7 linked regions of the Kluyveromyces lactis genome follow. The protein of the gene in region 1 binds, or shares a complex with, the protein of each later gene. Links are inferred from orthologs where the notes say so. Each region holds a gene or a part of one and is shown in the gene's direction. Other genes may lie near its edges.

Region 1 (3,959 bases):
TGATTTGTTAGTAAAAGTTTGAAACTCGATCAGAACAAAGTTCTTAAGGCAATCTTATTGGGACGATTCCTAGAATTAGTGAACGTTCAAGTTAATTTTGCTAGATTAGTAAAGCTTAATAAAAAACCAAAAAAAATTCCCTCTGTAGGTATGAATTGTTGTGCATTTGATAGTTAGGAGGTGATAGGTCCCATTAAACTGCTTCCTTGTATCCTTATTCATTCTGCAAAGCGTACTTGCTTTCGTTTGAAGAAATCGTGACATATATCTCACTCAACAGTTTAGACCGCGTACTCACACTCTCCGAAATGAAACGCTCAAGTTCTCACAGGATAGCGACTATCATGATATATGTTACACCAAACACAGTAAATCCTTGTCATTTTCATTAGTTGTTATCCGAGTTCGTCTTGTTGTTTTTTAGCTAATGTGCTTTCGTCCCATTTCAAAGTAGCATAAACCGTCTTGAATCACCAAGAAACCCCAAAATAAGATGCCTTTTGCTTATCATATTGTGCATACATTTGCATTTTTGAATCTTGTCCTTTCCTGATCTTTTTGATAGTAATCAACAACTAAGTACAGCTATCTTAAGTGCGTATGATTAAATGATATAATCCAAAATACTTTGAGTATGAATTCTTGCTTGCTTTCCTCAATCTGGGTTTGGTACATAGAAAGTTGGTGAACCTGAGGAATCGACAACGAGCAAAAACGAAGTGATTTCTGCAATTAGAAAATAAAAATACCGTTTTGAGGAATATATGCATTTTTAATTGTCAAGCCCCGAAATTTATACACCCAGACACACTGTTGAATAGTGCACGGATGTTGTTGCAAACCGTCCCAACTTGGAACGTAGAATTTTACTGGTACCGGTTACCCTGATTGTTAGTTTAGATACGACTTCTGTATTTCGTTCTGCAGTCAGTTCGTGGTATCTGGTCGTTATTTTGAATTTCACCGAATTGGACCTAATATTGAAATTGAACAAAAATTACCTGTCAAGAACAAAGCCTATGTGCATTGTATATGCTCATGTATACCTGCAGAAATTTTTAGTATACTTCTAATTGAATATCATAGCGATTAGCTTGAACACTAGGTAAAAGTAGCGTCTTATAGATTGCTATTCCATTGTTGTGTTGTGGAGTTGAGAATGTCCGTAGAACCCATTGCCTCTAGGGTCGCAGACTTTCTACAAGTCGACCAGCAACTGATACAAGACATTAATAATGATGTTTTAGGTAGGATTGAGGAGAAGTTGGAAGATCTTCGGAAACAAAAATCTGAAAACCTAAGAATAACTGCTACCTTGGATCAATTAAAATCTCAATCAGAGAACAAACTAGAATCATTCAAAATTCACATCTCTCAACTAGCCAAGGCATTGGAAGATGGGAAGGATGAGCGCTTACACTTTGAAGAAGAGAAAAGGCGTCTAATTGAAGGAAATTCACAAGTGACCAAAAGAATCATAGAATTGGAACAAGAAATAGAAGTAGAGAGGCAACAAAAAGAACTTGCTGACGCTTCTAAGCAAGATATTGCAGAGTCACTAAACGAAAAAATTGAAGAACTCAGTTCTACCAAAGCTAAATTGAATGAAGCACAGGGAGCGAATAAGGAACTTAGACAAAAAGTCGTCAATACTGAAACTGAGCTACAAACTCAGCAGGCCTTAGAGCTACGTTCGAAAAGCGAGATTTTAAGGATGGAACAAGAAATCACATTATTGAGAGAAAACAATGACTGGTTGACCAATCAGTTAAATACCAAGACCGTACAACTCAATGAGTTTAGAGAAAGCACAATTAGTGAATTACAAGATTCTCAGTTAAAGGTATCGAATATGGAATCAGAGTTGGAAATAGCTCGAACCAGTAATCAGAAACTAAAACAATCGGTACACAGTTTACATGAACAACTGGAGCAAAAACTTTCCGAGAACAAAGAAATTAAAGATGAGTACAATTTCTCTAAACAAGAGCTTACGAAAGAGATGTCTTTAAAGCAGAGAATGATTGATGCTCTAGAGAAACATATGGAATCATTGAAGAAAGAAATGGATGCTACAAAGAATAACATGGACTCATCATATTTCACCGAAAAAGAAAGAGACGAGCTCATTGAAGAGCTCAATGCGGTCAAATATCGTTTAGACGCATCTGAATCTAACTGCATAAAACTTAAGGAGACAATCGATGAATTAACATCCAACATAAAATTAGAAGACTCCGAAGTTGGTAATACCACTGCGTCTTCAGAAAAATCGGTTTCTGTCATACCTAAGTTATATGGTGATTTGGGAATGCTCAAAAAACAGCTGGTTATTGAGAAAAGACAAAAAGACGAGTTAAAAATGCAAGTGGAAGCATTCGTTGTTGAATTAGAGCATAAAATCCCTGTTCTCAATTCCTTCAAAGAGAGAAGTGAAATGCTTGAAAGAGAGTTAAATGAGGTTACTATTTTGTTAGAGTCAACTGGCAAAGACCGTGATCAAAAGTCGTCACAACTTGATTATTTGAAAGCTACTGTGAAAAGCTATGAGACTCAAATAGCCTCCCTATCTAAGCAACGTGTTGACCTTGCCCATCAGATACAGTACTTACTCGTGAACGAATCTATTAAGTCAGAGGATGGCGGACCATTATCCGCTGAAGAATTGCAATTTGTCAAAAATCTAACCAACTCTCAAGAAATAACAAAGACCTCTGACACTCAAGGCATTATAACCGATCGACTAGTAGAATTTAGATCAGTAGTTGAGTTGCAGCAGAAAAACTCCGAACTTCTTTCTACAATTCGCAATCTTGCTGATGAATTAGAACGCAGGGAAGCTGAAAACAAATCTCAAATCCAGGTATTAGAGGATGAAACGGTGAGAGAGGCAAAAGAAACCATTCTTACACTTCATGATCATGCACAGAACCTTGAAAACCAACTAGTCATTCTATCAAAGGAGAGGGACGCATACAAGGCATTGTCAGTAAATGCTAGCTCTGGCACAAACACACCTAAGGCCATTACTTACCCTTCTCCTGATAATGACGATAAAGTGAAGGATCTCGAAACAAGACTCACCGCTGTCATTCAAGAAGCAGAGAATAATGCCAAGGAATGGTCATCAGAAAACAGCAACCTGCGTAAGAAATTATATGAAATATCACTTAATTTCGAATCTGAGAAAACTTCACGTACTCTTGCAGAAGATAGGTTAAATCTATTACAATCAACTTTAGAGCTTTCCAAACGCCAATGTGAGGAGCTACAAAAAAGATCATCTGATCTACAAGATATTTTAACAAAACAGGACAAACGTACACAGGAGACTGTAGATTCCTTAATCAAAACGAAATCCACTTTGTCATCTATACAATCGGAACTATCCATCTTGAAGTCTGAAAAACAGTTTATGGCAAAGGTTCAAAAGGAACTGAAGGCAGAGAACGAAAGATTTTCCAAAGAAAGTGTCGAATACAAGGTGTTAATTGCGCAACTTCAGACACTCCAACGTGAGAGAGAAATGTTACTCAAGGAAACTCAGAATTCTTATAAGGAAAAGCTTAGAAAATTGGAAATTGAGTTGTCTGGTTCACTCGAACGCCTTGAAGAAATTGAAAAAAACACCACAGGAATTGCTAGCAATAAAGAGCATCAATATAATTGGTTTCAAGAAAAGATTGATAAGTTAACTAGTGAGGCAGCTCAACAGAAAACGACCTTAGAAGAAAAAGAAGCTCAACTTCAGAAAATGCAATCCACTATCAATGAACAATCCGCAAAACTCAAGGAGGCCGAGGCACGGGCACAATCATATACGATGTTAAGTAATGTCGATGATGCTCAAAACCTAGTTGAGACTTTGAGACAGGAATTGGAAAAGGTTAACTTGCAACTTTCTGATTCATATTCACAAATAGAGCATCATAAAACTCTGGCGGAACAGTCCGTGCAAT
Region 2 (4,146 bases), on another chromosome or scaffold:
GCTGGGTATCATTTTAGAAAGAGGTTCGATGTTTTCAATATGCACAGTTGCCTTTTCCGGTCCAACTGGTTCAATTTGTTGGTTATTGCACTCTGGTACTTCATTCATTGGGTTTAATATATAGAATGGCTTAACTGATTCAGGCAAGTTGGTAAAATCATCAATTGAAAACGCCTGTGAAAAATACCAATTTGGGTCCAACTTTTGGTACACTGACGGAATATAGCTAGCAGTTCGAAGGTTACCTTTTTGAGACCAGCTCAAGTTTGGTAAGCATTCCAATTCAAACAAAAAATTAGTTCTACACTTCGTCAAATCTTCATCTGAATAGTGAGCGTCTTTGATGAAATAATCACGATTTTGAATGCTTAATCTTCTTTCAAGGTCCTTAAAATTATCTTGTAATTCTTCTAACTTTAAAGAAGTCAAAACTTCTTGCTTTTTCGTATCTAACACAGTGTCCGTCTCTATATTGGTGGACAGCCTTTTGCGTTGTGGAGATTGTTTTTCGAGATGTAAGTTCAAAACCCCTGTAAGGCTGCTGCTAGCTGATTGAGGGCTTTCGTTTAAGTAAGGTATTTCAATCGGAATATTCTCCTTATTCAAATCTTCCAATAGGATATTTTTTTTTAAGCACATCCTTTTCGCCGGCTGGGTATTAACATCTTGGTTATCCAATGGGATCTTTCTTCTAAGCTTTCCGACCATTTTTGCCTTCTGTTTGAGCGAACGCTTTTCTATAGGAAAATTGCCGGGTAGTACTTTTCAAAGCAGGAGATTTAATTGATAATTTACTTAATTTTGAACTTATAATCAGGACCCAAGGTTTCTGGTATCATCTTTTATATTCCATTACCTATAGTACCAATTTATTGACATTTTGTCACAAAAGTGTCAAAATAAATGAACATGATAAAGTACCCATAGTTGCTAATACTAATATATATCGTCACGTATCACATGAAAACATACACTGGATGTTTCTTATGGGTGAAATCAAGAAACTGAATGCTTTGCAACTAGAATAAAGTTGATCTGTCGAACTGTAATGGTATTGTTGGCCTTTATGAGTTCACTATCATGTTCCAGTTTAGATCACCAGTTCCGGGTAATCATTTTCAAATTTTTTTCTTTGGTTCTCTGAATAAACAAATAAAGATGATGTTCTAAATCTACCTTGCAGAACCAGGTCTAACAGTTATGTTTCTCTAAGGGCACTTTGTCCAATTGGTTAACTGATTGCTCAGCATAAAATTTTGCTTTACTGTATCTGTGTACTTGTCTTTTTTGAATTTCGGAAATAGGGTATAGACTTGAGCTAACAGTGTATCGGCAAGACAGGACAGATGTCAATATATTCTACGCCGTTGAAAAGCAATTGGAATGGCAATGCAAACTTTGCCAACCCGTCTGCCAATGTCAACGGGCTACCGATGAATGGAATTGGCAATACCTCTTTGGTGCCTCAACAACAAGGATCAGACGGTACTATAGGAACGTACGGTGCTAATATGACAAACGTAATTTCAGGTTTAAACGGCAACACAGTAAACCCACTGAACTTTAATGCTTCACATGAGCATATTAAGGTAACGGGTCTTGGTGCTGCAAATCCTCTGAATCTTGCCTCTCAATACATTGATCATTTGTTGCGTCGTGACATTAGTACCCCGGTACTGGATGAAAGATCGTACTACAATAATGGGGTTAACTACAATTTTTCCAAGGAAGTTGGTGGATTAGGCCCATTTACTCCGTTTGAAAGACTTAATGTGATTAACATACCAGATGAAATTTTGCAGCAAGTATCTACTGCTGAAATCAAAACAAATATGGGTTTATTTCCCGATATTGAACGTTGTTGGATCACTGTTGATAGCAAGTTGATCCTCTGGCATTATAATAACCCTTCAGATTTCCAATCAATAGATGACATCAAGCATACCATATTACAAGTTGCCCTAGTGAAACCGAAACCTGATACATTCGTGGAATCAATCAACCACTTGTTATTGATAACAACTCCTTTTGACATATACATACTCGCAATTTCTTATGACAGAATCAGCGGCTCGTTCAATATCTTCAACACAGGGATGAGCGTTTCTGTTCATGGATTGGATGTACATGAAATCGTTTATTATGAGAAAACAGGACAAATCTTCTTTTCTGGTAACAGCAATGGGACCAACATTTGGGAACTTCAATATTCATCTTCAGAAGATTGGTTTAACAATAAATGCAGCAAACTTTGTTTGACACAGTCTGCTCTTTTGAGTTTACTCCCCACAAATATTTTCTCCAAGATTCCAGGCTCGGCACTTGTACAATCTTTATTTGAAGAAGATTCAAAGTATGCACAAGAATACATTACACATTTGACTGTAGACCAATCGCGTGGTATTTTGTACTCATTATCATCAAAATCAGTCATCCGAGCTTATAAGATTAATGGTAAATCCTTAGATGGACCAACTACAATCGAACCCTCTTATATTAAACGTATCATGGGAACGACTCCGGCTAGAGGAGCTGCTATCTTGGGTAACAAATATTTGAAAATAGTTAAAGTAGAGGTGGTTTCGAAAGAAGAGAATAACAATTTATTTTTGGTAGCTATCACAATTGGCGGTGTTAGGTTATATTTCAATGGTTCTGTTAATTCTGGTAGCGTAGAAGCTTTAAGATTAGAATCCATCAAGTTCCCACCAAGTTCTGTCAGTCCAGAAACCATAGAAATTGAGTTACAACAGCAGCAGCAGCAACAAACTAGAAAACTTACACCCTTCTATTCTTCCCTCAACAGTATGGAATCTGTACAGTTGAAATACCAGAAAAAATCGTCAGTGTTACTTGAAAGCTCGAAAGCTTCGTCAATTATTTCACCTGGCATTTTCTTTTCTGCTGTTACAAAACATCCAGCGGAACAAACATTGGGAACTATGGGAACACCTGTAGCAACTGTTCAAAACACTCCAATACAACATAAGCTCTTTGTCAGTGTACCAGATTATGGTATTTTGAAGAATCACGGTCGCTACGTCGAAAATTCTGTATTTTTGGATACCACCGCCCCAGTAAGAGAAGTTATCCCCATATCCTCTTTGTTCAACGGTGCCAATAAGCCAGAGGGCTATGCCAATGCTTTTGCAACTCAGTACAGTGTAGAACCATTGAAGGTTGCCGTTTTAACAAATACATCTGTGGAAATCTATAAATACCGTAACCCAGACCAGATCTTGGAGTCCTTAATTAACAACCCGCTGCCCTTCATTGTAAATTATGGGTTAGTCGAAACCTGCTCATCTGCTTTATTTGTCACTTGTAAATTCAATAAGTCAGAGTCTTTGAGATCCAATGCGTTAACTCTTTTCACTGTAGGTATACCTAATGTTGTGGAAATCAAACCAACATACAACAAATACGCGAACAGTGCGGTATCAACACTACTAGGTAAACCATCACTGAATTTGATGACCCCACAAAAAAGCTCTACTGAATTAAGCAAAACTGCCAATACTCTTTCGACACCAAATGTATCTGGTGCAAATAATTTCAACCTTGATGATGTCATCTTGTCCGCTAGATTCTACGGTACCGCTCTGTTGATTGCCAGATTATTTAGAGACATATGGGATAAAGATATTTTCCAACTCGATCCCCATGTAAAAATTAATCCGGATAATTCAGTGATGAAGAGTTCAATTAAAGGTGATAATATTATTACAAAAATCGTTGTATCAAGAGGTGATATCGAATATTATCTATCCTCAGTAATGATTTTAAACGAGTTCTTCCAATCATATGGTAATTCAATTACAACAATCACTAATATTTCTCCAATTAATGGAGAAAAGGTGGTGGATAAAGGAGAAGATGTTGCGCATCAGGCAGAAAATGTTGCTATGAACGCAGTTATCAAACTCCTTCAATCCATAAAGGAGTCACTTTCATTTTTGAACGTACTATTCGAAGAGAGTGAAGTAGATGGTTACGAAGGGCAATACTTAGCATTTGTTGACATTATGAAGTACTTGAATTTCGATATTCAATACGACTTAAGCAAGTTGAAATTCAAGGATATTTTCAATCCCAATGAACAAACCAAAAATTTAATAAGAGAGATTCTCTCCTCAATCATCAACA
Region 3 (3,155 bases), on another chromosome or scaffold:
CTCGACAAATTCTAATTGCGCTGTCATTACCATTACCTCCAATAACTAAAGCAGAAAATACAGGCTCCATTGTTTCTAGCTTGCATGTTCTAATTGTACTACAAATTATTTCAAAAGGATCACCTAAGATAGGAATGATCATGTTTAGAAAACCTAAACTGCCATTTGTGTCATGTTTTGCTTGTGTTATTATATATTTATTTTCAGTATATTTTGTCGTCAGAATTTAAACCTGGCATTTTCAACAAGCTACTTGAAAAGGCGTACTGAAGAAGTATCATTGTTGAACTGACCAACAGAGCAGAAAAAGTTAATCACAGAGTCCAAACTGCACGCAACAGTTTGGTGTTACTTCCATCAGAGATATTTGTAAGTGAGAAATGTCTGCAATTTTAGAACAGCGCAAGCTGATTTCTCAGCTTATGTCTTCGGCTGCCACATCGCATGGGCTAACTTCACCATCAACGTGCAAATCATTTATCATTGGTCATTGCCCCTATGACCTTTTCCAAGAGACCAAGCAGCCCATGGGGCATTGTCCACGTATACATTCAGTCTCGCATAAAATGCAATATGAAAGAGATGTAAAGAAGGGCAAGAAATATCCTGAGTTTGACCTTGAGCATTACTCCATCTTGAAGAAGATTCTTAGTGATTGTGATGTTCAAATTGAAATGGCACATAAAAAGTTACAGCATCATGAGGAACATTCGAAATTAGCAGCACTTCTACAAGCAGTGAATCAGCTTGAATCCAAATGTGCTTTAATGCTTTCAGAAATCGATATGCTTATACAAAACGAAGAAGTTATGAAGGCGATGATTCAAAGCTGTAAATATAACAAACTGCAAACAGAAAGGGACACACTCAGCGAAAAATGCAGGCAAATGAACGAAAACACAGGCCAAAGTGCACAACAGAAGCTACAGGTATGCCGTGTATGTGGAGCCTACCTTTCAAGATTAGACACGGATAGAAGACTCGCTGACCATTTCATGGGCAAACTCCATCTAGGATACGTAACTATGCGTAAAGAACTTGACATGGTAAAAAAGAGATTGCACGAACAAGGGACAGATCTTCACACATATCTCCCGCAAACAAGGAGACATCAAAAAGCAGTATATAGAGGTAAATCTTATCGATCGTGAATGTATAAATTTACACATACACTGAAGCTGTTCATAATGGCAAACATTACCCGGATTTGAGTATTCTAATTGAAATAAAACAATTTCAACTAATAAACATCAAGAATAAGATTAGATGAGAATAGCTGTTATCATCGTAGCATGTTCATATGCACCGGTAACACTGTGGTTTGGTGTGTTCTTCAATTTCAAGTAGGATAAATTGATCATTTTTGACTGTTGAAACATTGTTGAGAAAGCGAACTGACAATCCTAAATCATGAGTTCAGTATTTGGCCAACAAGCGCAACAAGAGAACAGGTTTGCAAACTTGCAAATAAATTATCCTCAGCAGCAGCAGCAAAACCAACAACAGCAGAATAGTTCACAATCACTAGTACAGAGCTCTGCCACGAATGGAAAGGAAGAAAACTGGTATAATATAGCTAGAAAGAGAAACATTCCACAATCCGTGATAAAAAGATCGTCTAAACCGAGCTCATCTGGAGATGGATCTTCGAATGACAACTCTTCCCAAAGATCCGGATTCAATAGCGTCCAGTTTGGCACAAAGAAGCCAACATTCAGCTCTACGCAGCCTGCACAACCTACTGATATCGCGACTTATGTGGAATCGAATGAAGCTCCCCCAACAAAATCGTTATATGATTGGCAACGAGAGGATGAGTTCGGGTCTGTCCCCACTAACGTGAACGCAATGCCTTCGTCTAACCAAATACCTTTGACTCAAGAATACACTAAGAGCACAAGAAACGCATTCGACAGAGATGCGTCGAAATCCCCTGTAAAACCGACAGCGGATCAAACAAATGATATATCAAGACAAAAATCGCAAGAGAGCGCAGTAATTGTATTTGGATATCCAGAATCCATTTCAAACCAAATAATATTACATTTCTCAAAATTCGGAAATATTTTAGAGGACCTTGAGGTTCTAAGAGGTGTTACAGGTAACAACATATCCAGTGCTACTATTAGAATTCGTGCTCAAAATAAGGACTCTAAAATTCCTCATAAGAAATATCCTATCTTCACGGGCGATGGATGGATTAAAATCACGTATGACTCCCCTAGTGCCGCTCTGAGAGCTCTACAAGAGAATGGTACCGTTTATGGAGGTTGTTTAATTGGCTGCGTTCCTTATAGCAAAACAGCCGTAGAACAATTGGCTTCGTGCAAAATCGATAAAACTGATGACATCGGAGAAATCCCGTTCAGTTTATCGATGAAACCAAACGGACCTGAATCATCTGATATACAAAATGGGACACAAGAAAGTGCTGATAATAATAAACATGGGTTCACCTTTTCTACTCGGAAATTGGATGTCAAAGATGGAAAGCAGTTGTTTGTGCATAATGCAAACCCTCCTCATGGTGGTCCAAACTTTTTAAGAAATTTGGAGAACAAGTTACGAGAACAGGAACAGCATGGGAATAACCAACAACCAACAAATTTAATTGGAAGGGTCAACAATTGGTTATTCGGGTGGAACGACCTATAGTCTCATTGTCTTTAGTAATTAGAGATGTATTATGTTTATATAATTTACGGATACCTCAAGAAATTCCAGTGCACCAAACTTCAATGAATGTGAGTATTTGAGTGAATAACTACCGAAATGGTGAAGACGATGAATTCCGAAAGGGAGACTTTGATATACGGTTATCATCATCATCACCATCATCGTAATGTAACGTACCAGAATTGATGTCGGGAGATCGATTGAAATAGCCTTGTCTGCCTCTTCTGAAACGATCATCCATTCTGAATCTGTCATCAGACACATCGGGTATGCTATCATTTGTTTCATCCGGATAGTTTAGTAACCTATTTGCAAAGTGTTGTTTAATAGGACTATGAGAGTTTCTTCTCTCACTTATATTATGATTTCTAGATGCATTGGCCAACATGGAATGATCGAAATGAGGTTGTTGAGATGGTATTAGAAGTGGCGTGGAGGGAGCGGAAGGTGTATTACCACTTTGAAGATGAGAATAGCGA
Region 4 (4,285 bases), on another chromosome or scaffold:
TAAGTTTTCTTGGGGGCATTCATTAGGCGCATGTCACATGCTCTGTTGAGGAATGAGTGGAAAGCCACACTTTTTATTGCGGTACTTTCACTTAGGCTGATGAAAAGATCGGTGTTTGAAGTTCCTGCTGAGAGGTTATTGTGAAAGTGTCAAATGATAACGCACATTAACGGGCTGCCTTTTGATTCCTTTGCCCACAGAAGTGGTCCATTTTGTTTCAGAGATTTAACCACAATTTGTTAGTGTGTTATTGTTATCTTGTTGTAGTATATTTTATGGAGGTTATATATATATAAGGAATAACCTTTCAGTTGTTGACAAGGCCTATGTAATAGATTCGAGGTTGTCTGTATCTTGTATTGATAAGTTAAAAAGTGTAAGAAAGACGTCTCATAATAAGGAGTAACACAGGATACCGACCTCCGAATAGGCTTAACAAGCGCCTACTACAATATACCCATTAGCGTCCCCGTTTGACAATATTCAACAATGTTCACAGACAATTTTGGAAAAGCCAAAGATACGCAGCAGGTTTCCCAGGTGATAGTACAATGCTTCAAAAGTTTAAATTCAGTTCCCAGATCGACTCCAGACCTAGAGCAAGACTATTGTGATTCTGATGAAGAGGAAGATTTGATCGTGGATTTAACGACAGGGTCGTTAAAGCCCAGGAATTTGAAGAATTATCTACTTATGAATGAGGTAATGAATGGCCTAGAGAGCCTATGACGCTATGGTATTAAAGCCAATAAGGGGGTTTCACATCTACTTTATTGTGTCTACCGAAGATTTGCATACCAGAGAGATGCATCTTTTAATGCCTTTACTGCCTGGCTTTATCTCTCATTTTATTTTCATTTCTTTCGACTATATAGAACATATATACTTTTTGGGTAATTTAACAGACGGAATTCATTATATATAACATATTGGAATTAAGTGTTTCAAACAGGGAGCCAACTCAGAATTGCATTAGCAGCTGTTCCCTTGTGCTCAAGTAATTACTGCTACATCACAATCCCCCAAAACTACGTATCACTACGTACGCTATGTCACTTAATACGATTTTAGGTCATCCCTCACCTCTGAAAATTTCTTTATCCTTGAAGTAAACAACTAATTGATGATAAAGAACTAACGTTTTCTAAGTTGATGCAAGCAATGTTTCGGCTTATATGATTTGTCGTATTTGTCTTTCAGTCATACTATCAGCAACTGAGACCAATAAAAGTATTCATACAGTGCGTAAAGTGGGAAATTTTTTTATAGATCGTTAATTGATTAGTGTGTTTCTTCTTTCACAATCAGAGAACAAGGACACTCACTCATCTTTAAATTATTTCTCAGAAAAATACCATTGAACCAAAACGCTACGACTTTGGTATTATCTACTTAGAGATTACTTGTGTCATTGAAGGACATATTATTTTATTCCTAGTCAGCTTTTTCATCAATTGTCACCTCACTTGATTTCCTGACCCACTGATGTTTGGTGCTTCTCGACCGGCATTTGGACAGACGAGTACTTCTCCTTTTGGCCAACAAACTCAGTCAACAACCAATGCGTTCGGTCAACAGCATAGTGGAACCACAAACAATCTGTTTGGATCCAGCTCTGCCAACAACGCGCAATCAGGGTTTGGTGGGTTTGGTACCGGCGGCGCTAATACAAACCCTACGCAAACTATAAATTCCCCATTCGGTATGTCACAACAGCAAAATACAACTACTTCTCCGTTTGGCGGGGCAGCAGCAGGAGCAGCAGCAGGTAATTCATTGTCGAACCCACCATCCCTGTTTGGTGGTAGCCAATCTAGTGGTACAGCGACAGGCGTTCTCTCTTCTGGACCTCCTTCTGGCACTGGAATCAAGCCATTCCAACCTTATACGGAAAAGGATGTGTCAACTGGATATCCATCGGTGTTTCAATCTATTACTTGTATGCCTGAATATAGCCTTTATTCGTTTGAAGAGTTGAGGTTCCAAGATTATCAACAAAATAGGAAATTTAGCACCACTGCTGGAGGTCCGACAGCTTCTGCTATTGCTTCGCCATTCGGTCAACAACAGACAAATGGTACTAACAACACTTTTGGTTTAGGAAATAAAAATACCATCAGTGCAGGTGGCGCAACTCCCTTTGGTCAACAGCCTGCAAATTCACCTTTTGGCCAGCAACAGCCTGTAAATGCATTTTCACAACCTAATAACACTCCCTTTGGCCAACCACAGCAGCAACAGCAAACTGGCATGTTTGGACAACAGCAGAATAATTCTCCATTCGGGCAAAATACTGCTTCAAGTTCTTCTCCATTCGGTTTAAACAAACCGGCTACCTCTGGAGGTCTGTTTGGACAAAACACCACCAATAATAATTCCGCATTTGGTCAAGCCAACAACTCATTATTTGGTCAACAAAACCAACAGCAAAACCCAGGTAACGCATTTGGTCAAAATACTGGTTCAAACACCTTTGGGAGCACTTTCGGCCAAACAAACACCAACAATCAACCGGGTGGTTTGTTTGGACAAAATAACACCACAGCGGCCAATACTGGTGGACTTTTTGGTCAACAAAGTAACGCCAATAACGCATTTGGTCAGAATAATAACACCTCAGGTGGATTATTTGGATCAAAACCAGGTGGAACTACAGGTGGCGGTTTATTCGGTCAGCAAGCACAGAACGGACCCTCTCCTTTCGGTCAACAAAATGCTGCTAATTCTACTCCATTCGGTCAGGTAAACAATACTCAGGCGGGTGGATTGTTTGGACAAAACAACACCAATACTGGCGGAGGTTTATTTGGACAGCAACAACCATCTAACACAAACAGTACAGGATTATTCGGACAACAAAGTAACGCAGCTAGCACTGGCGGTCCTTTCGGACAACAAAATAGCAACTCCATGAATCAACAGGGCGGAGGATTATTTGGTGCGAAGCCAACTACCGGTGGCCTGTTTGGATCAAACAACCAAAGTCAACAAGGTTCAACTGGGTTATTCGGAGCTCAAAATAAAACTGTAATGGGTGGTAGTTCCGCGCTGTTTGGTCAAAATAATCAGCAACAACAATCTGGCGGATTGTTCGGACAAAGTAATCAACCGTCTGCAACGGGGGGGTTATTTGGTAATCAGAACCAACAAACACAGCAACCTAACACCGGTGGTTTATTTGGTCAGCAGAACAACAGTATGGCAAACAACACCGGAGGATTGTTTGGTGCAAAACCAACAGGAACTACTGGTGGATTATTTGGCCAAAGTAGTCAGCAGCAGAATACATCTAGCGGATTGTTTGGTCAAAATAACAACCAGAACAACACAGCAACGGGGGGTCTATTTGGTCAAAACAACCAGCAACAAGGTCAATCATCGGGTAGTCTCTTTGGTGCCAAACCTTCCGGCACTAACGCTTTAGGAGCTACCAACGGCGGGTTATTCGGAGGCAACACACAACAGCAGAATACGGCTACTGGTGGTCTATTTGGTGCCAAACCAGCTGATAGTGCGTCAACATCTGGTGGCCTTTTCGGCACTAAACCAACAGGTGGTTTGAGTAGTACCACTGGAGGTGGATTATTCGGTGGAAAACCTGCCGGAACTGCACCTTTTGGCGCAACAAACACGAACAATGCCTCATCAATTGGTGGCGGAAGTTTATTTTCTGCGAATAAGCCAGCAAATACTGGTTCGACAGGATTATTTGGATCACAAAACAACACTTCTGGTAATGCAAATACAGGTGGTTTATTCTCTTCATCTTCCTTGCAACAAAACCAACAAATGCAAAACCAGCAGCAAGCAGCACAAGCGAACTCCAATCCATATGGTACGGATGAGCTATTCTCCCGTGTTATCTCTATTCCTAATTCCATTACTCAACCAACTAAGCCTAGTGCCACAATGGTTTCTGCAGACTTGAAGAAAAAGAACTCCCTCTCCGCAGCATACAAGCTGCTTCCAAAACCCTTGTTTGACTCTAAAAAGTCGGAACCGAACTCCAGAAAGGTTAAAATTCATCTAAAACTATCAAAACCCAAGGAGGAAGACACTAGTTCGACTGCTCTAACAAGAAAGCCTATGGATTCTTCAATTTTCACTGCATCTACTGATGAGGCTATTTTAACTACCGGAGAACTCCTCTTTAATCCAGACAAAAAGTCTTTCAAAAACCTTATCATCAATCGCCAAAAGATGGAAGAAGATGATACCTCATCTGGTGAATTGAAATTCATAATCTTCAATACTGACGACGGACCACAAAAGAAAATGGAACAGA
Region 5 (3,982 bases), on another chromosome or scaffold:
GTAAAAAATTGATTCTTTATGAAGAGGGGTGTAGTGAGAAGTAGCACATCACTTAGTAAATTTGTCGCAAGTCCGACTAATGACGAGAGAATTTTTCTGATAGATAGCTTGTCAATTTGAATGAATCCTTACTTTCCAGCAAATTCACCCAAATTATAGAATCTGGTTTCCTAAGAAATATTTGCTGGCAGTTCCATTGGGCTATATCACCAAATAACAAAAAGCTGCATTATTCAGTACACTTTTAATCCTGATGCCATAGTACGATGATCAATACAATGTTGGAGAGAAAATTATCAATCCGTCCACAAAATATCTCTGGTAAATGTTGTTTCAGTATAACTGGTGTTGTTTCATTTGTCATCACTATCAATAAATTAACATTAGAACCTCTTCCTGATTCATATATCTATCTTATTCTTGTATAATCCTCGATATCAGACCTCGTGCTGGTTTTATTTTGTTATCTCTTTCATCGTAATCCCAAAAGTGCTATTCCAAATAAGTAACCACTGCTAGTACACGGCACATACGTTCAAATTCCCTTAGCTGGTTTCTTCTTGAATGAACTCAAAAGTAAATAACCCTATAATAATCAAGGTGCTACTTTAAACAACTTGTTAATATCTCTAAGTTGCAATTCAATGTAAATCAAAAAATGAATATTCAATCCGAAGTGAGTTTGTCCAGGACGCAAAGTATTCCTCTTCCTACCGGAGAAGCAGAGAAAGTGAAGCAGGATAACGAGGATTGCGACAAATGGACTCATTTTGGAAAGGAGATAATTTCCTCTTTAGGAAGGAAATAACGCATGAGAAAATATACAAAGTTCAACTTTCGGATATATAACGTGGTGTCTGGATCCAACAAAACAGTCCCGTAATACAACATTAAAAATAAGAGCGCTATAAAACAGATGTTTCATCTGATAGATTAGCAAGTTTTACACCAACAAGTCCTACATGGTGTTACGGCCATCGTACTTGCCACCTGCGTCAACTAATGAGGTAAGAAATCATTGCACGTGTGTCGGTTATAACGGTGGCTATTGCAAATAATCCCTGAAAGCATAACAACGTTTTATATTCCGATATAGTGTAACGGCTATCACACCACGCTCTCACCGTGGAGACCCGGGTTCGACTCCCGGTATCGGAGGAGAAAGCGATTCGAAAGTTTCGCTAAATACTTTTTACATTTTTACTCCCCTGAGCAACCCATCACAAGCAGAATAACATGTAGTCACGTGTTCAGCATAAGTCATCCCACACGAGTCAACAGTATATTGAAGGATTTAGAATTTCGAGCTGCTTTATTATTATTTCTGGTGTTAGTATCATCAATTCTCATGTTGATGTCTGAATGCTTACACATCAGCAATCCTTAAACTCCTTTTCTGCTACTTCCGGTTGCTTCCCGTTAGTTCAATTCGTTTCTGATTAAGAAAGTGACTTCTCTTGAGCTGATCTTTCCAAGCACAATACTCACTGTAGGATATGTCAAAGAGATTTGCGGGTTCTCAGATGACCAGAGAAGGTCTTGAGAACGGACATAGTAATAATGTTTCAGATGACGAGACTCCATTTGATAAACCTGCCGTTGCCAGCGAATCTGTAATGAGTACCAGAAAAATTGCAATGCCAAAGAGGAAAATGGGAGGATTTACTGCGGGTGATAAACCTAACATGTTCAAAGTGATAAAGGATGACAAGAAACCTCAAGGCACTGACTTAAACGAAAAACTCACGGCATTGAACGTGCAATTCAAAAATAAAATAAATTCTACATTGGAATCAGATCCAGTTGCTGATATTTCTTTCCTGTTCGATAAATACAAGACCTATTCGCAACAGTTAAGGTCAGAAGCGAAAACTAATGGCGCTGCAAACGCTCCTCCAACTAGCTCATTCACATTTGGTACCACATCAGCAAATGTGGAGAAACCTAAAAATCCATTTGCATTCGCAAAGCCTAGCGCAGCACCATCATTTGCTCTACCTTCGGAGGTGACTAAACCGACAACGACCGTAACGGAAGAGAGACTGCAAGATAAAAAAGAACAAATTGAGATTAACAGCGATAGTGATTCTGAAGAGGAAAAACCAGCCGTTAATGTTGAAGGCCCAAAGTTTGTCTTGGCTAAGAAACCAACGACGTCTGATCCGCCTTTCAGCTTCGGTGGGAATAAGCGTAAGGAACCTGACAGCGATAGCGACAGCGAGATAGAGATCAAGGGACCCCAATTTACGTTTAATGGGACTGTATCGTCCAGTGCCTTTACTTTACCAAAGAATGATGCTTCAAGGACAGAGGAATCTGAACCAGCTGAAAAACCAACGGATAACAAGCCAGCTAGTATATTTGGGAACTCTTCACAATCTAAACCAACATTCCCTCCTTCTGCGTCCGCACCATCCATAGAGAAAAATGAGGGAAGCAAACCAGCTCTTCCTGCCTTTGGGTCAAATAAGGCTGATAATGGTAATTCATCATCTCCGTTCTCATTTTCTTTCAGCAACAATAAAGATTTGGCCAAAGAAAGTGAAAATAAAAAGGAAGAAGCAAAGCCAGCTAGCACCTTCGGTACATTCTCTGCCCCTGCTCCATCGGCGGACTCTAAACCATCGTTTAGCTTCTCTGCTCCAGTGCAAAGGACAGCAACTGAAAACAAAGATTCATCAAAGCCTTCCTTTACATTTGGAGCTATGGGCAAGGAAAACAGTAATGATGAAGCTAAAAAGCCTTCTTTCACATTCGGTACCTCAACAACCTCTGAAAAACCGGCTGAGTCATCTAAACCTTCATTTACATTTGGTAAAGCTTCAACAGGCTCCACTCCTTTCACTTTTGGAAAACAGGAGACCGACAAAAAAGATGAGAAAAAACCTACGTTTACGTTTGGGGCAACAGCAGCATCAACTGTACCAGCATTCAGTTTTGGTGCCAACAAATCTGAAGAGGCGCCTCCACAAGGTGAATCATCTGGCTTCAAGATCTCTTTACCCTTTGCCTCATCTGCTCCAACATCTGATAAGGATACTGCCAAGGAAGTTAGTGAAAAAAACAGCGAAGACGCATCTGCTGAGGCACAAGAAGAGCCATCTAAAACTTTGAATCTATCGAACGGTGAGGAGAATGAGAATCTACTCTTTTCGCAACGCGCCAAGCTAATGATTTTCAATACTGAGACGAAAGCCTATGATTCCCGTGGTGTAGGTGAATTGAAGGTTTTGCAAAACAAGGAAGACAATACAAAAGCAAGAATACTTTGTAGGTCAGACGGTATGGGTCATATTTTGCTAAATACTAGTATTATAAAGTCATTTTCCTATGAAGCATTAGATCCAAATAATGAGAATTTGGTTAAGTGTCCTGCAATTAAAGCGGAAGGAGGGTTAGACACATACGTCGTAAAAGTGAAACAAAAGGCTGATGGTAGAAAATTAGTACAAGCGATCAAGGATGCTCAATCACCGATGTAAAATTAAGTACATTTAACTGTTAATTAATAGAACTATTTGAACTTAGTTCATATATGCATGTGTAACTATTAAAATGGCAAAAAAAAGTACTTAAAATAGTCAATCTTCAGCACCTTTGAGCTCCTCTTCTATCAGTTTTTTGAAAGATGCAACTGCCCAAGACAGTCTTCTACTTTCTCTATCATGTTCTTTTGAGCCTTTCATACCTGAAATATACTTGATATAATCAAAATGCTTAGATATAAACCATCTTAGCGCTTTTAAAATAACATTCTTATTCTGAATGTTAATACCTTTCTCGATCAAAGAAGACAAACCATCAGAGTTATACTCAAATGTTTTCTTTCCATCTCGTTTGATCTTTATTTCGGCTGCCTTACCTTCGGAAAGGAACAACTGGAAAAGCAAAATATCAAAGAAGATTATTCCATCTGAGTTGAGTCCTGCCATTAACGGAACATGCTTGAAAGCATCAAGTTTCAAGTGACCTTCTGCTATTA
Region 6 (4,167 bases), on another chromosome or scaffold:
CAGAGGCATTGCAAGACAATCGCAAATATGTTTGAAATGAATGTGATGAACAACAATTTGTATTTAAATTGTGCACCACCTGACACACTAGTAGAATAGTTCCCAGGGTCCATGTATGCAACACTGACCATGATCCCAGGTCCGACAAACTTCATAAACTTCCTCAAAATTTCAACATGGTTCCTCTCGAATACACGAGATAGTATAAGCATGGCAGTTTCACAGTTTAGATAATCTTTAAGTACCAACAGTAACGTGCCAAGAATAAATTACCGTCTTTCGTTCCTTTATCTAAATTCCAATAAACAGAGAATGAAAACAGCAGAACTATCACCAATTTACAACACAGAATATCTGACCTCTATTGAGCTAGCGCCTCAAACTCTTACAGATTCTAACGTATCGTGTTTTAGCAAACTCTCTTCTCGTAAATGACTTATTTGTAAGAGTGCAAATCAAATAAATCAAAACCTTAAATTTCTAAACTTCTTTTATAGAAGGAGATTCAAATGCACCTCTGTAATGTTATATACGACGAACGTGAGAGCTGTATATGGTGTTGAAAACAAATAAGTTCCAGTGCTCCAGTTGTGATTCAAAAAAGGAGACGATCCTGGACAATGGAAGTATCTCGATTCCAACCAAAACATTCTTTTTCTCTCTGGTAAATATATATATTATATATGTTAGGACCCTTAGCTATCATTACTATTACTGAATCTGGCATTCAAATTTGCCGAGGTTTTTATCAGATGAGGTCATGATAAAACTTACCTAATTCAGGATTCATTAGCCAGATGGGGTAAAGACATTTGCTTACTAGCATTTATGTCCTCCTTGCTTCTGACTAGGGTTTTATGAGAGGATGACGGGAATTTGACGGGAATTTGACGTAAGCAATGGAGCTATGCAACGGAATCGACATTATAATATCGATGCAAACGATCTCACTGGTAATTCTGGATAGGCGAAGAATTCAAGAGGCTATAATTCGAATATTAAGACCACAACGTAGTGGCAGATCATATAGAGTTGCTGCGTCCTTGACCATTGTACCTTGATCAGAAGCGAAACCTGAATCGTACATAATGATATATCCGATTCAGATCTTGTCAACAAACAGAAGTTCAAACTTTAAGCTTATGTTTGGTCTTCTCATGTATGCAGATGCAGGCTAGGATCAACAAGCAATCGCGATCCAGGCACCCGTTACATACCAATCGTCAATTAAAAAGCGAGCGACTAAGTGATAAGTTGTATGCGTGATCCCATTTTTTTCTATTAAACTTCTGCGTATTGGCACTTTAGAATCATATTCTGTTGAAAAGGGAAGCTGAGATAAGTTCAGACGCATATACAGTTAGATAATGGATTCCAGTTTCGGAACAAATGGGTTCTATACACATACTCCATCGATGTGGAGTGATAGTAGGCGTAGGAACGTTGGAAATAGAGATAAAGACTCGTTCAGAGGAGGAATAAGCGATCGAAGAAATGAAGAGATCAACAAACCAAAAGAAGATCCATTTTGTATATCCGGTTTTTCCAATTACACAGGAAAATCGAAGTCAAGCACTAGTAGAGCAAAGAATGGCCCAGCGAGTGAATCGATTAAGGAGCTACCTTTGATTTCTACTGAAGTTCTCGATGCAGCCAGTCAGAGAAGATTAGCCTTCGTCGTTTTTTTTATCATTCAATGCTACAAACTATACGATCTAATCCTACTTAAGAGTGGGATACCATTATCTGGGATTTTTCTATCGAATTCAAGGTTAAACTTCATTTCAAAATATTTGGTAATAGACTCTTTGTTCTTTTACTGTCTCCCCACGTTCAAAATACCCAAATTAAAGTTCAAACCACTGATAGTGCTTTTGCAGATTATTTCATCCGCAACCCTCACACTGTTTATCTCCAGTGAACAAAGTATCCCATTGGTATCGCTTCTATTGTCATTATGGAGACAGTATCACAGCAGAGACTTGTCCTTAACAGGTGACTCTGTCAACCCAAGAAAGGCTATGAATTCGGCAGAACACTTCAAAGGTGCACATACCATTAAAATTTTGCCAGAAAATACAGCATATTTGAATCCCTTCCACTCGTCTTTTTGTCTACCACTGGACCAATCTGGTCCTGCCATTGAACTACCTATAAGAGTCAACTCATCATCCACAATCAATACAGTCCAGTTAGAGTTCAGAGATCTATACTCAAATGAAGGTGAACTGTGGAACTTCACCAAGAACGATTTAAAACCACTCAAGGCAGATATTTCAAAGGAAGAAACTGATCGTAACATACATTACTTTACTGTACCTCTTAACAAAATCGGGTTTTACCAGTTGAAAACCGTTCTAGACACTAATAATATCAATTTGAGAATATACAAATCCCAATTAGTGCTACCTCACTGCCCATTGGCTTCCATTAACGGAAAGGGAGAAAATGATAGATGTGTTGGAGATAATGATGAGGTTTCAATTCAGGTACAAGGTGCTCCACCTCTTAAATTGACTTATACTAAGACAATCAATGGCCAAAGATACGTACTAGAAGATTCATCACTTCAACCAGAATATTTTGAATCACCTTTGCTAACGAATTCAAAATTCTACAGTCAAAAAGATGTCCAAGATTTAAAATGGGCTCGTTCGTACCCTGTAGATATCGCATTAGAAACTTCAACCAAAGAATACGGTGAACATGTTTACTCTATCGAAAGAATTGTGGATGGATTTGGTAATAGCATTGATTTTTCCTCATTATCATCACAAGTAAGAGAAAAGTATGATTTGATCCACAGATTCTACGTGCACGACTTACCAAGAGTATCTTTGGATGAAAAAATGAATCCCGACAGTTCTGTTAGAAGGTCTTTAATAGTCAAATTGGACTCTGGCGATTTTAACAAGGATGCTCCATTCATCGTTCAGTTATCCCATGAAGATAACAACTCCAAAGTGAGATACTTCGAAAAACAATTCAATGATAAAACATTAGAATTCAAAGTTGATGAGCCAGGTTCTTATAATTTGCTCTCAGTAAAATCGAGGTATTGCCACGGTGCCGTGATTGGAAAATCTAATGTTCTGATAACTAAACCAATTCCTCCTCAATTATCTGTAAGATCAACCCCAATATTAGATCAATGTGTTGGACAGGTCGGCTTGAATTTTGATCTTACTTTTACCGGTGTTCCTCCCTTTTACTACAAAACAAAAATATACAAAACTGAGCAAGGAGAACGTAAACTATATGATACAAAAAAATTCAGCTCCCAAGGAACCAGAAACCAGTTTACTTATTCACCCACATCAGAAGGCAGTTATGAAATTGTTTTCACCGAATTGTCAAATGAACTTTTCACATCTCCTATCTCCTTAGATTCGAAAGAGTACACATTCAAAACCAGCATGAGAGTGAAACCTAGTGCAAAGATTTCAGGGAAGCTAGAGACAAAATTATGTCTTGGAGGGAAAACGAAGGTACCTATTAAATTCAGTGGTGAGCCTCCTTTCACGTTAAACTATGATTTAGTAGAGACTTCTTCTAATAAGAGAACTTCGTTTAATAAAGAGAATATTCAAAGTTTTTCCTATGAGATCGAAACACCTAATTTCAACATTGGTGGTGATCATATCCTATCTTTAGTTTCTGTGAAGGATTCCAGTGGATGTTTGGTAGGTCTAAGTGGTACTGATGCCAGAATTACCGTTAGAAGAGATATTCCTTCTGCTTCTTTTGCTGTGTCAGAATCTTCCTCCCAAGTCAGCATTAAAGAAGCTTCATTCGCAGAACTTCCATTAAAACTTTCAGGTGAAGGACCTTTCAGAATCACCTATAGCCATTTGGATAACAAGGGAGACGTTCTCGAAACTGAAGAGGTGACTTTCAGTTCCAACTATAAACCGGCCTTAAAGGTTATGAAGGAAGGTTTGTATAAATTGGCTTCAATTCGTGACCAGAGTTGTGTTGGCAAGATCGTAGATCCGAACCATACTTTCCAAGTAAGTTATCTCAAAAAACCTACGTACTCATTAATTGAGCACAACAGAATCTCAAAACTGGACGATTTCAACTACATTAAAAATGATGTCTGCCAAGGGTTTGAAGAAACCATCGATATGTCTCTAAACGGCATACCACCCTTTTTGATAGAATATG
Region 7 (3,931 bases), on another chromosome or scaffold:
TGGAAAACGTTCTTTTCAAGATATCGTTCCCAGCAGAATTCCATGCTCAAACGGCAGTGGAAGCAGCTATTAAGGTGAATAAACAGTTGGCAGAGTTGGGCAAAACTTACAAAGACATTAAAAAGGTCAGAATTAGAACTCAAGAAGCCGCTGTGAGAATTATTGACAAGGAGGGTCCATTGTACAATTATGCTGACAGAGATCATTGTATTCAATACATGACTGCTATTCCATTAATTTACGGTAGACTAACGGCTGACGATTACAGTGATGAAGTAGCAAGCAACCCTGAAATTGACGAATTGAGAGCTAAGATGTATTGTACTAAAGATGACCAATTCACTTTGGATTATCATGATCCATCAAAGAGATCAATCCCAAACGCTTTGTTAGTAGAATTGAATGATGGGACTGTCTTAGATGAAGTGGTCGTAGAATATCCAATCGGTCACAGACTAAGAAGAAAGGAAGGTGTCCCACTATTGATGCAGAAATTCTACCACCATTTGCGTGAACATTTCGCCGGCGATATTGAAAAGGTGGAAGCTTTAATGGAAGCAAGTACAGATGACGGTTTCTTAAACTTAACTGTTGATGAATATGTCAACATGTACTGCGATTAAGCTTTGTCCTTCGCACAGCATCATCAACGTATAACGACCACAATCAATTTTTCATTTCATTCAACTCTTTTTTTGAACTAAACGAAGTAAAACCTACATTTCAATGGTAACCAAAACAACATTTTCTATTCTACAAAAACTGACCACAGGAATCAAAAGATTCTGGCAATCATCAATTCCAGATTACAATATATAATTAACTTATTTTCTCTTGAGTTAATACATACATACTTATGTTTTAATATTAATTACTGTCATGATCAATTTCTGGCTGTCCATTTTTTTGTCCCGTCACATGTTCGGGTAACGGTGCAAAACATTGTAGTTAAAAAAAATTAGACAGAAAACAATAAAAGAAAATGTAAACTATCAATACGTTGAATAGATGATGGAAATAATTCATTGAAGATACTTTGAAAATCAATACACATTGTTGCTATCCATCGCATCAAATTATCTTTAACCCGTTCAGATTTTGGAATTGTAAAATCCACACAATCGTGGAACTATGAATATCAACAGTCAAATCAGCAGTGATACAATGCTATCTGCATTTCAAAACGATGCAAAGACTAGTGGCTCCACGTCTAAGAGCTCATCGAAATTATTCAATGAGCTTTTAGAAACGTCAAAGAACTTACCTTCTACTTCATCTGACCTTGGAGCTATCTTATTGAGTGTCAATGAGATGAAAAAGAGGGCACAGGAGATGCGTAAGACAATTCCTCACGATTCCAATCATACAAAAGCTCATTATCTCTTAGCAGGAAGTGGACTTGAATTTCACGAAATTGAGAGTTCCTTGAAGAATCTTAAGTCATCAGAGTTGTTAACCGAACAACGGGTTGCACAAGGCTATAACGATGGTGATTTGGACACTTATTTACATATTAAGAAGGATGAGAATATCCTTTCCTCCATTGAACAATCATTGTCTTTAGCAGCGAAGGATTTTGATAATTTCATTAATCAGAACTTCAACCTAGATTGGAAGCAAAGGAAAGATGAAGTAAGAGAAAGCTTTGGGATCCTAGTCAAGAAACGTCAGGATAGTTCTAACTACGATACGACTAATTTGGCTCCTTTGGATCCCAACGGTCCAATATTTTGGGGGAAACCACCTGGTAGTGGTATCTTGGATGGTGATTTAAATTCAAATGTCAATGGAAATCACATCCTTAGAGAAAAGTTTGAGAAATATGCCAAAATTATTTACAGGTTTAACAATTCAAGACAATCACATAATGACGATTTTCAATTAACCAAAGAGTTCATTGCCATCTTTCAGAATACGACCGACTCGAAGTATAGACAGCTACTTGACGGTTGGGAGATTATAGATAATGCAACAAATCAATCCCCAAATATTGTTGAGTTTTCCAAAAAATACCTAGAAAACCAGTTCTTGAGCTATGTTGACAATTTGTATTCAAAGAATCCAAGCGAAGGTTTACCGACCAATGTTAACAAAATTAGAGCATTTATTGACCTCAAACTGAAGACTGGTGAAAATACTTGGAAATTTAACAATCTTACGATTGTGAATGGAATTCCCGTATGGGCCTTGATTTTTTATTTGCTAAGGGCTGGTTTACCGCAGGACGCGCTAGAAGTAGTTGTTAACAACAAATTGAGTTTCAAAAAAGTGGAGCAATCTTTCCTAACATACTTCAAAGCTTATGTAACGTCTCCTGATCATCGTCTTCCACAGGAATTTGTCTCAAGGTTGCATACAGAATATAACCAGCATATCAAAAACACTTTGGACAGCGATCCGTTCCGTTTGGCGGTCTACAAAATTATTGGCAGATGTGATTTGACAAGGAAGAATATCTCTTCTATTACTCTAAGCGTGGAAGATTGGTTATGGATTCACTTGATGTTAATCAAAGATGATATGGATATGGATGATCCAGTATATGAAAGGTATACCCTCAGCGATTTCCAACATACTGTTGTCTCTTACGGTGAGTACATGTTTAAAAACTATTATCTACAGGCCCTTTTGTTAAGCGGACAATATGAACTAGCAGTACAGTACTCATACAAAATAAATGAAATCGATGCTGTTCACTTGGCAATTGGTCTAGCGGCAAATGGCATGTTACATGTGTCATCTTATAAAAAGGATGAGTTGATCTCCGTGAATGATGGCCAAACAAGGATAAACTTTGTTAAGGTATTAGGAAATTACACAAAGTCGTTCAAGTACTCTGATCCAAGAATAGCTGTCGAATATCTAATTCTCATCGCACTAGTGAATGAGAAAGAGCAGATTGAATGGGCGTATGAGGCACTCAGGGAATTGATCTTGGAAACTAAAGAGTTCACCATACTTCTCGGAAAGATCAACTCTGAAGGAATTAGGATCCCCGGTGTAGTTGAAGAAAGACGCCCATTATTACAGCTTGAGGACCAGAAGGACTTTTTGTATAAGATTACCGAACAGGCTGCTCGTAGGGCTGATGAAGAAAGAAGAATTCATGATAGTTTGTTGTTGTACCAGTTATCAGAAGAATATGACATTGTTATGTCCATTATCAACAAGTTATTGGGAGAACTTCTAAGTAGCACTGACCTCAATCAATCCCTCTTTAGGTTGAATGACAACAGCGAAACGAATTACGTCTTAATGGCAAAGAAGTTAATCGAAGTGTACATCAACAACATCGAAATCTCTAAAAAGGTTCAGGCAAGAAACAAAGAAACATGTATTGTCTTGTTGAAACTAGCTGATATAAGAGCATCATTCCTAGCACGCCAATGGCAAAACACCCTACAACAGATTGAAGATCTCGATTTAATTCCGTTCACGGATGAAAGCTCGACCAGAAAAAGAGCACAAGAATTTACACATTTGGATGAGAATATATTAAAGAACATACCTAACCTGTTGATAATTACAATGCTATGCATTTCTAACATCATAAAGCAGTTGAACGAAAGTGATTACCAATCTTTGACTAAAAAGCAGCAAATCGATTCTCTCAAACGTGTTGCTAAAAATTGTATGATTTATGCTGGTATGATTCAATACAAAATGCCAAGAGAAACTTACAGCATATTAATCAATATAGAAGTTGGTTTGTAGCAGAGCTCTCATTTATGAGCACCTGAGTTATGTCAGAACCCAGACGTCCTACCATAATAGCATACAATAAAATAACCATGTGTAAGTCGATTGTTATTCGATATAATTGCCTGATAGATTATATATGCATATGTATATATATACATTTGAACTGCCAATTACCTTTTCAGCAGTGCATTGTTGTAGTGAGTAGAAGATGCAACGAAATGTACAAGAA

What was found.
Region 2: MLP2 (region 1) and NUP170 share a complex: the UniProt entries of both Saccharomyces cerevisiae proteins name them as parts of the nuclear pore complex. The link is inferred for Kluyveromyces lactis from reciprocal best matches to the Saccharomyces cerevisiae genes MLP1 and NUP170.
Region 3: MLP2 (region 1) and ASM4 share a complex: the UniProt entries of both Saccharomyces cerevisiae proteins name them as parts of the nuclear pore complex. The link is inferred for Kluyveromyces lactis from reciprocal best matches to the Saccharomyces cerevisiae genes MLP1 and ASM4.
Region 4: MLP2 (region 1) and NUP116 share a complex: the UniProt entries of both Saccharomyces cerevisiae proteins name them as parts of the nuclear pore complex. The link is inferred for Kluyveromyces lactis from reciprocal best matches to the Saccharomyces cerevisiae genes MLP1 and NUP116.
Region 5: MLP2 (region 1) and NUP2 share a complex: the UniProt entries of both Saccharomyces cerevisiae proteins name them as parts of the nuclear pore complex. The link is inferred for Kluyveromyces lactis from reciprocal best matches to the Saccharomyces cerevisiae genes MLP1 and NUP2.
Region 6: MLP2 (region 1) and POM152 share a complex: the UniProt entries of both Saccharomyces cerevisiae proteins name them as parts of the nuclear pore complex. The link is inferred for Kluyveromyces lactis from reciprocal best matches to the Saccharomyces cerevisiae genes MLP1 and POM152.
Region 7: MLP2 (region 1) and NIC96 share a complex: the UniProt entries of both Saccharomyces cerevisiae proteins name them as parts of the nuclear pore complex. The link is inferred for Kluyveromyces lactis from reciprocal best matches to the Saccharomyces cerevisiae genes MLP1 and NIC96.

What each region holds. Positions count from the first base shown.
Region 1 is NC_006037.1:55,751-59,709, reverse strand, and holds the start of MLP2 (Mlp2p), read left to right. Parts: upstream 1-1,159; coding exon 1,160-3,959. Other genes in the region: RPL40A (ubiquitin-60S ribosomal protein L40 fusion protein), read right to left, coding at 523-530. UniProt on the Saccharomyces cerevisiae protein: Together with the closely related MLP2, involved in the structural and functional organization of perinuclear chromatin. Together with MLP2, associates with the nuclear pore complex and form filamentous structures along the nuclear periphery.
Region 2 is NC_006041.1:1,832,305-1,836,450, reverse strand, and holds the start of NUP170 (Nup170p), read left to right. Parts: upstream 1-1,346; coding exon 1,347-4,146. Other genes in the region: KLLA0_E20637g (uncharacterized protein), read right to left, coding at 1-708. UniProt on the Saccharomyces cerevisiae protein: Functions as a component of the nuclear pore complex (NPC).
Region 3 is NC_006042.1:687,782-690,936, reverse strand, and holds ASM4 (FG-nucleoporin ASM4), read left to right. Parts: upstream 1-1,410; coding exon 1,411-2,655; downstream 2,656-3,155. Other genes in the region: KLLA0_F07271g (uncharacterized protein), read right to left, coding at 1-142; LUC7 (Luc7p), read left to right, coding at 381-1,151; NUR1 (Nur1p), read right to left, coding at 2,765-3,155. UniProt on the Saccharomyces cerevisiae protein: Functions as a component of the nuclear pore complex (NPC).
Region 4 is NC_006042.1:2,465,762-2,470,046, forward strand, and holds the start of NUP116 (FG-nucleoporin NUP116), read left to right. Parts: upstream 1-1,485; coding exon 1,486-4,285. Other genes in the region: KLLA0_F26686g (uncharacterized protein), read left to right, coding at 490-729. UniProt on the Saccharomyces cerevisiae protein: Functions as a component of the nuclear pore complex (NPC).
Region 5 is NC_006038.1:545,774-549,755, reverse strand, and holds NUP2 (nucleoporin NUP2), read left to right. Parts: upstream 1-1,496; coding exon 1,497-3,482; downstream 3,483-3,982. Other genes in the region: SGD1 (Sgd1p), read right to left, coding at 3,582-3,982. UniProt on the Saccharomyces cerevisiae protein: Functions as a component of the nuclear pore complex (NPC).
Region 6 is NC_006042.1:1,588,323-1,592,489, reverse strand, and holds the start of POM152 (Pom152p), read left to right. Parts: upstream 1-1,367; coding exon 1,368-4,167. Other genes in the region: putative divalent metal ion transporter SMF3, read right to left, coding at 1-212. UniProt on the Saccharomyces cerevisiae protein: Functions as a component of the nuclear pore complex (NPC).
Region 7 is NC_006041.1:1,253,996-1,257,926, reverse strand, and holds NIC96 (linker nucleoporin NIC96), read left to right. Parts: upstream 1-1,131; coding exon 1,132-3,714; downstream 3,715-3,931. Other genes in the region: PDH1 (putative 2-methylcitrate dehydratase), read left to right, coding at 1-623. UniProt on the Saccharomyces cerevisiae protein: Functions as a component of the nuclear pore complex (NPC).